Macaca mulatta: one gene and its partner. The protein of the gene in region 1 interacts with the protein of each later gene in a pairwise test. Links are inferred from orthologs where the notes say so. Each region holds a gene or a part of one and is shown on either strand. Other genes may lie near its edges.

What was found.
Region 2: the proteins of CHD3 (region 1) and SERBP1 interact in binary tests that used the Homo sapiens proteins (3 or more experiments, as listed by UniProt). The link is inferred for Macaca mulatta from reciprocal best matches to the Homo sapiens genes CHD3 and SERBP1.

Annotation. Positions count from the first base shown.
Region 1 is NC_133421.1:9,402,443-9,406,259, reverse strand, and holds part of CHD3 (chromodomain-helicase-DNA-binding protein 3), read right to left. Parts: coding exon 3,795-3,817; intron 3,607-3,794; coding exon 3,403-3,606; intron 1,868-3,402; coding exon 1,656-1,867; intron 992-1,655; coding exon 860-991; intron 467-859; coding exon 367-466; intron 1-366.
Region 2 is NC_133406.1:173,192,356-173,196,172, forward strand, and holds part of SERBP1 (SERPINE1 mRNA-binding protein 1), read left to right. Parts: exon of another isoform or gene 1-6; intron 7-1,851; coding exon 1,852-2,025; intron 2,026-3,817. UniProt on the Homo sapiens protein: Ribosome-binding protein that promotes ribosome hibernation, a process during which ribosomes are stabilized in an inactive state and preserved from proteasomal degradation.

The DNA of each region.
Region 1 (3,817 bases):
CCAGTTTTAGTCTCCTCCTCCCTGGCATGGATACCAAGTTGGATTACAATTCCCTCTACTATGGCCTGAGTTTACAAAAGTTCTCACATCTAGTCTTCAGCCCCTCCCCCTCATTCTGTAAGACAATATCCAGCAGCACCATGGGGGAGGGCCAGCTGGTGAAAGAGCCGCCAGTGGGCTATCTCTAGCAGCTCCTGCCCTTTTAGGCCAAAATTCTTAACCACTCTTGGGGCAAGGCTGGACGCTGAAGGAAGAGCTGCTGTTCACAGAGGTTACTGAATCTCTGGGAAGTTCCATCAATAGCCCTTGGGAAATCTTCGATCACCATGGCTCCAGAAACAAGAAATGCCAACTGAGAGGACTCACATCATTAGTGGGAGAACTGGGAGGCCCATCACCCTGTAGCTCCTTCTTCTTCTTCTTATACTTCCGGGGCTGGGCAGGGTCTTCCCCCATAATTAGTTCTCTGGAAAAAGAGTGGCTCTGAATGAGGCCTCATCTTTGGGAGTCCTACGCTTTCTTTTCTGAACCCATTCCAGACCTACTTCCCACTGTCCATGACCTAGATTTTCCCATATTTCCTTTTTCCCAGGCTTTTTACCCTTGCCCTTTGGATTTCACCTCAAGAACCAGCCCTCCCCACTCTTGAACATTCTCTTCTCCACTACTCAGCCAGATCTTGTTTCTGTTCCTTACACTACCTCTTTAGCAAGCCCATCTCAAACCACCCAGCCCAGGTGGCCATTGCCCTGAACTCCAGGTTGAATCAGTCCCTTCTATACCCTCATTTTATGCTGGAGTTTTAGCTTTCAGGCCCTCATCCTCAGAATCCCTCAAATCCACAGGCTCGTTCCCTCACCGGTGTCTCCAGTAGCTTTGCTTATGTTCTTCATATTCAGGGATATTCATTTCATCTTCCTCCCACGTGGACTGGTCATATGGCAAGTCCCTCCATTTTACTAGATAGTGGTAATTCCCCTTTTTATCCACACTGTGGGGCAGGAGGCCATAAGGAGGAGCAGGAGGAAACAAAAATTGCATAGATCACAAACAGCAAGAAGGCCTGAGAAACGCAATTATCAGCAAACACACAAAATTTGTCACCCAACCTTCAACAGTGGGCGCTGGAAGGGACGTGAGAATAGTTAACCTGGCAGCCTAACCTTCTCAGGATGGTATCCTAAAAATCAACTATCACAAAACATTCCTGGAGATCCCTCCTTATATCATTTGTTCACCTAATCACTAAGTATTTTCCTCATGGACCTCAGAGTCTCATGGGGAAGACAGCATTGAAATAACTAAATAAATACCGTAACTTTAGGCAGTAATAAGTACCATGAAGAAGAAATATTCAGAACACTGGTCTGGATGAATTATGTCTCTCATGTTTTGCTTTCATGCCCTCATCCCCAGACTCATGTGCTATGTCTTATGCCACTGGAGATGACAAAAGAGGCACTGCCTGGCCGAACTTTCCTCCTGTTTTCTCCCATTCCCCTGGAGGAAACAAGGCCAGAAAGGCTGAAGCTACAGCAGAGGTTATCAAGGTTAGATCAATTACCTGGTTAATCAGCAAATACTAACATGAGGCTATCACCATGGTAAGAATAGTGTCATATACCAGGTCTTACTTCCCAGGGCCAAGGATTCACCTGTGGTTGATGATACGGTGGACAGTCATCCACTCTGGCTTGATGCCAAAACGATAGTACTTCTCCTCCATCTCAGCATAGTGTGGGTCTTTCACTTTACGCTTGTCACTCTTCCCATCATCCTCGCCGGAGCCATAGTCCAGGGGCGGGGGCTCATCCATGTCATTCTTCCGCTGGTAGTTTCGGTACATAACCAAATGGAAGATTTCCAGCTGATAGGGCACAGAAAAACGAGGAAGAGACAGGCCTGACACTCACAGAGGACAACAGGGAACGGGGAAGAGGCCAGCAGGAGGAATGGGACAGGGAAAGAGAGCTATGAAAAAGGATAGATTGGCTGGGCGCGGTGGTTCATGCCTGTAATCCCAGCACTTTGGGAGGCTCAGGGGTGCGGATCACCTGAAGTCAGGAGTTCAAGACCAGCCTGGTCAACATGGAGAAACCCTATCTCTACTAAAAATACATAAATTAGCCAGGTGTGGTGGCACATGCCTGTAATCCCAGATATTCAGGAGGCTGAGGCAGGAGAATCTCTTGAACCCATGAGGTGGAGGCTGTAGTGAGCCAAGGTCACGCCACTGCACTCCAGCCTGGGCAATAAGAGAATAACAGGCGCGTCCCAGCACTTTGGAAGGTTGAGGCAGGTGGATCACCTGAGGCTGGGAGTTCGAGATCAGCCTGATCAACGTGGAGAAACCCCATCTCTACTAAAAATACAAAATTAGCCGGGCGTGGTGGCGGGCGCCTGTAATCCCAGCTACTTGGGAGGCTGAGGCAGGAGAATCGCTTGAACCCGGGAGGCAGAGGTTGCAGTGAGCCAAGATCGTGCCACTGCACTCCAGCCTGGGCAACAAGAGCAAAACTCCATCTCAAAAAAAAAGAAAAGAAAAAAGAAAGGAAGAAAAAGGATGGATTAGAGACAAATGAGTCAAAGTCAAAACAGGAGAATAAATAAAATGAAACAGATGCAACAGTTTCAGAAGACACCGCCTGGGTGGGGCTGTTATAAGCAAAAGGAGATAGGGAATGGGGTTATAAACATTGAGATTTTTTTTTTTTGAGATGGAGTCTCGCCCTGTAGCCCAGGCTGAAGTGCAGGGGCACGATCTTGGCTCACTGCAAGCTCCGCCTCCCGGGTTCACACCATTCTCCTGCCTCAGCCTCCCGAGTAGCTGGGATTACAGGCGCCCACCACCATGCCTGGCTAAATGTTTTGTGTTTTTAGTAGAGACGGGGTTTCACTGTGTTAGCCAGGACGGTCTCGATCTCCTGACTTCAGGTGATCCGCCTCCCTCGGCCTCCCAAAGTGCTGGGATTATAGGCGTGAGCCACCGCACCCAGCCGATAATTTTTTTTTTTTAAATAGAGATAGGGTTTCACTATGTTGCCTAGGCTGGTCTCAAGCAATCATCCTCCCCTGGCCTCCCAAAGTGCTAAGATTATAGGTGTGAGCCACTATGCCCAGCCAGGAATATTATAAAACATGGAAAAAGATAGATAAGGAAGGACGTGAAGTTAAGAAAGGCTATGCTATATCTGAGGGAAGAAAGCTAATGGAGACTGAGAGAAAGAGGACTGTAGACCAAAAGAACCACAGATGGAAACTAAGCAAGTAGGGTATAAAGGCCAGAGGCCTGAAACGAGAGAAAATGAAGGGTATGGGAACCCAGCAAACAGAGGAGTAAGAGAGGGAGAGGATGGCAGGAAATGAGGTCATGGGGGAGAGGAAAAGCAAAGGTCCTAGTACCTGAAGCTCCTTGGCCCAGGAGCAGTGCCAGTAGGATAGTCCCACCCACTTGACAAAGAACTCTCGCTCTGATCTGCCTTGAAGAGGACGCGGGGCTGGGACATCTGGATTCCCGTCTGCCTGTTGAGGGGCTGGCATTGCTACAGGCGGCTCCCCCCACCGCCAATGCAAGATCTTCTGCACTCGACCCTTCAGCACAGGGCACTTTGGGATGGACATGTACAAGGAGAAGGAAAAAAAAGAGGCAGACAGAACCCATCGTTAGATGACAGGATAGGGGTCCCACAGAGTGGGGGAGTGCAGAGAAAGGAAAAGCTGGACATGTGGGCCCCAGGGATGGGGGAAGGGATCAGGCCCGACAGTAAATACAGAGGGGAGATGTTTCCACTCACTGTGCATCGGGGACACAGCCATT
Region 2 (3,817 bases), on another chromosome or scaffold:
GAGCACTCCCCCATACACTTTATTTTGAGACAAGGTCTTGGTCTGTCATGTAGGCTGGAATGCAGTAGCATGGTCACAGCTTACTGCAGCCTCAACCTCCATGTGCTCAAGCGATCCTTCTAGCTCAGCCTCCTGAGTAGCTGGAACTACATGCCTGTGCCAGCTCCTGGACTCAGGCAGCCCTCCTGCCTATGCCTTCCAGAGTGTGGGATTACAAGTTTCAGCCACTGCCCTTGGCCTTACTTTTTATTGTTATATGGTTGGTTGGTTTTATTTTCTTCTGAATATTTTTGATAGGTGGTTTGCAATTAATTGAAAGCATTGGTTTGAAAGAGCAAACATTTAAAAATCACACAATTAGTGTATATAATTCATCTTAATTTGCTGGTGTTTTTGTGAATTTGTTTTTATGTTTCTAGGCTCCTTTAAAATTCGTATTAGAGCCTTCTATTGCCTTACATTGTGTTAGTGTGGGTACAAAGGATTGACCTTTAATGCTAGTATGAGTTGATGTAAGGGATGAAAACACAAAAATTTATTTGTACTTTAAAGGCTAGTTATTAACAGTTGTAATATTTTAAGTTGAATCTAATGGAATTGTAATAGTACAAGTTCTAATGAAAGAAGAAAATGTTCTTTATTCCTGTAGAAAAGAGGATTTCTTACATGTATTTAGAAAAAGAAAGCTGTACTTTAAAGTCCCATAGGCACAGTTTTCAACTAGAAGATTAAAACCCATCCCAAGCATGGAAGAAGACATCAGGCATGGAGCAGTGTAGAACTGTCTGGCTTTTTGCTTTTTTCCTCCCAGACTGGGTCATGTATCTTAAACACAAATAGAAAGGATCTGGATTTCACAAACATGACTTCATTTTTAAGAAGTTTCTAGCTGGGCGTGGTGGCTCATGCCGGTAGTCCCAGCACTTTGGAGGGCCAACACCAGCGGATCGCTCGAGCCCAGGAGTTTGAGACCAGCCTGAGCAACACTGCGAAAACCTGTCTATAAAAAAATACAAAAAAATTAGCCAGACATCGTGGCATGTGCCTGTAGTCCCAGCTACTTGGGAGGCTGAGGTGGGAGGATCACTTGAGCCTGGGAGGTGGAGGTTGCAATGAACCCAGATTGCGCCACTGCACTCCAGCCTGGTGACAGAGTGAGACCCTGTCTCAAAAAAAAAAAAAAGATTCCTGTGACACATTTAAGCTGTGGATTTATTTGTGCATAGCTTTACAAGATTCCCCTTATGTAAAGTGTGTAGTGTTTCACTTGAATTTGTAGCTCTCCATATTTGTGTGGAAAAACATAATGGTTGTATATTAACAGAAGATGCTTCTGAAAAGTTTGTATGGAATAAGGTCATTACCCTAGTTATAGTTGAAAGAGTGTAGAACAGAGGTTTTCTTTTTAACTTGCGTGTTCTTTTTAACTTCAGTGATAGTAGTAGCCTTATATGTCACCTCTCCAGAGGTCTTCATCAAGGATTCACATTGGAGTCCTGATCTGAAGGGCGTATTTAAAATGTACTTGTCCAGATTTCACTGCTAAAGATTATGATTCAGTAGGTCTGGGATGGGCCACAATCATTTGGGTTGATTGTGATAGCATATATGTCTTTAGTTGAGGACCACTGATATTACCTGCAATTTTGAGATAGAGAAAAGTGAAGGAAATTATTCCTCCAAGATCACTATAGCTGAGCCCTAGCTTGTTACCTGTGGAGACATTCAGACATTTGTTCACAGAAAGTACAGTTTGGATTTTTGGTCTTTTTAGAAGAAAGCTCATTATTTAGAAATTTTGCGACGTTACTTTTCTACTAATAACCCAGTCATCTTCACTTATGTTTTTAGGCTCATGCTGAAGATTCGGTTATGGACCATCATTTCCGGAAGCCAGCAAATGATATAACGTCTCAGCTGGAGATCAATTTTGGAGACCTTGGCCGCCCAGGACGTGGTGGCAGGGGAGGACGAGGTGGACGTGGGCGTGGTGGGCGCCCAAACCGTGGCAGCAGGACTGACAAGGTAATTTAAGACTTTGTTTTCCTTTTATGTAATTTAAGGACCTCTTAGAAGTCACTGGCTGGGTCCTTCTGGGAACATAAGAAGTAGAAGTAGTAGCAGTGTCTTTAAGAAACCACGTGTTGGCCGGGCGCGGTGGCTCAAGCCTGTAATCCCAGCACTTTGGGAGGCCGAGACGGGCGGATCACGAGGTCAGGAGATTGAGACCATCCTGGCTAACATGGTGAAACCCCGTCTCTACTGAAAAATACAAAAAACTAGTCGGGCGAGGTGGCGGGTGCCTGTAGTCCCAGCTACTCGGGGAGGCTGAGGCAGGAGAATGGCGTAAACCCGGGAGGCGGAGCTTGCAGTGAGCTGAGATCTGGCCACTGCATTCCAGCCTGGGCGACAGCACGAGACTCCGTCTCAAAAAAAAAGAAACCACGTGTTAGGTTATATTTTTGTTTAAAGCACTTAAATGTCTTTTTTGGAGTGCTGTAAGTAGTGTTAAGTTACCACCTTTTGAATTAGGTGCTGGTCATGGTGCTGGGCTAGGCATTTTATGTACTTAATGTCATTTAATTCTTGTTAACTATGATGACATTCTCATTTTCCAGACAAGAAAATCTGGTGTAGTGAATCAGGTTAACTCTTGACCTTTGCTAAGGCTTACCTGAAAAGCAATCTGTTCGCTTTGATAATTCCTAACTGCTTTTTAAGTCTCTGCTTAATAACCATCGTGTTCCTTGTATAATTCCTCTTGTGACACTCATGATTGTTGATGCTTTTTTCTTTTACTAGACTCTTCTGAGAGAGCTGGGATTCATTTTTGTCTTACTTTACTTTCTATAATCCCTCCGATGCCTTGAACAGTATATGGAACAAAACAAGTTCTTAGAGAAATATTTTGATGAATCCCAAGTAATTGATAGATATGAACTCGGATCTGATGCTTGGAAGCAACCATAATGTCCTCCTAAATTCTCAACATCTTACAAATTTGGGGACCCACCTGCTTGATTGAGTCTATTTTTGATTATTATAAGGGTAACTTATCACTGCCAGTGTAATGATACTTTGTTCCTCCAAGACCAATCTTTTTTTTTTTTTTTTTTAAGGCGGCGGTTGTGTTTATGGGCTTTTCCCATACTTTTTTTTTTAGTTCTGTTATTTATACTTTAGGCTATAAAGAGCAATTTGGACTCCTTTTTTTGGACTTTTTTTTTTTTGAGATGGAGTCGCTCTGTCGCCCAGGCTGGATTGCAGTGGCGGAATCTCAGCTCACTGCAAGCTCCGCCTCCCGGGTTCACGGCATTCTCCTGCCTCAACCTCCCGAGTAGCTGGAACTACAGGCGCCTGCCACCTCGCCCGGCTAGTTTTTTTTTGTATTTTTTAGTAGAGACGGGGTTTCACCGTGTTAGCCAGGATGGTCTCGATCTCCTGACCTCGTGATCCACCCGTCTCGGCCTCCCAAAGTGCTGGGATTACAGGCTTGAGCCACCACGCCTGGCCCTGTTTTTGGACTTTTAACCTTGTTGATTATTGCTACTTAAATATTCGTTTCTTAGCATGCTTTCACATTGATGCCATTCTTATTTAGCAAGTGGAAAAAGTATAAGAATTCTGAACAACAATGCAAATTCATATACATAATTGCTTGTGAATCTATTCGTATGGTTTACTGGAAAAAACAAAACAACTGGGCTGGGCACATTGGCTCATGCCTGTAATCCCAGTACTTTGGGAGGCCTGGGTGAACAGATCACCTGAGGTTGGGAATTTGAGACCAGCCTGGCCAACATTGTGAAACCCTGTC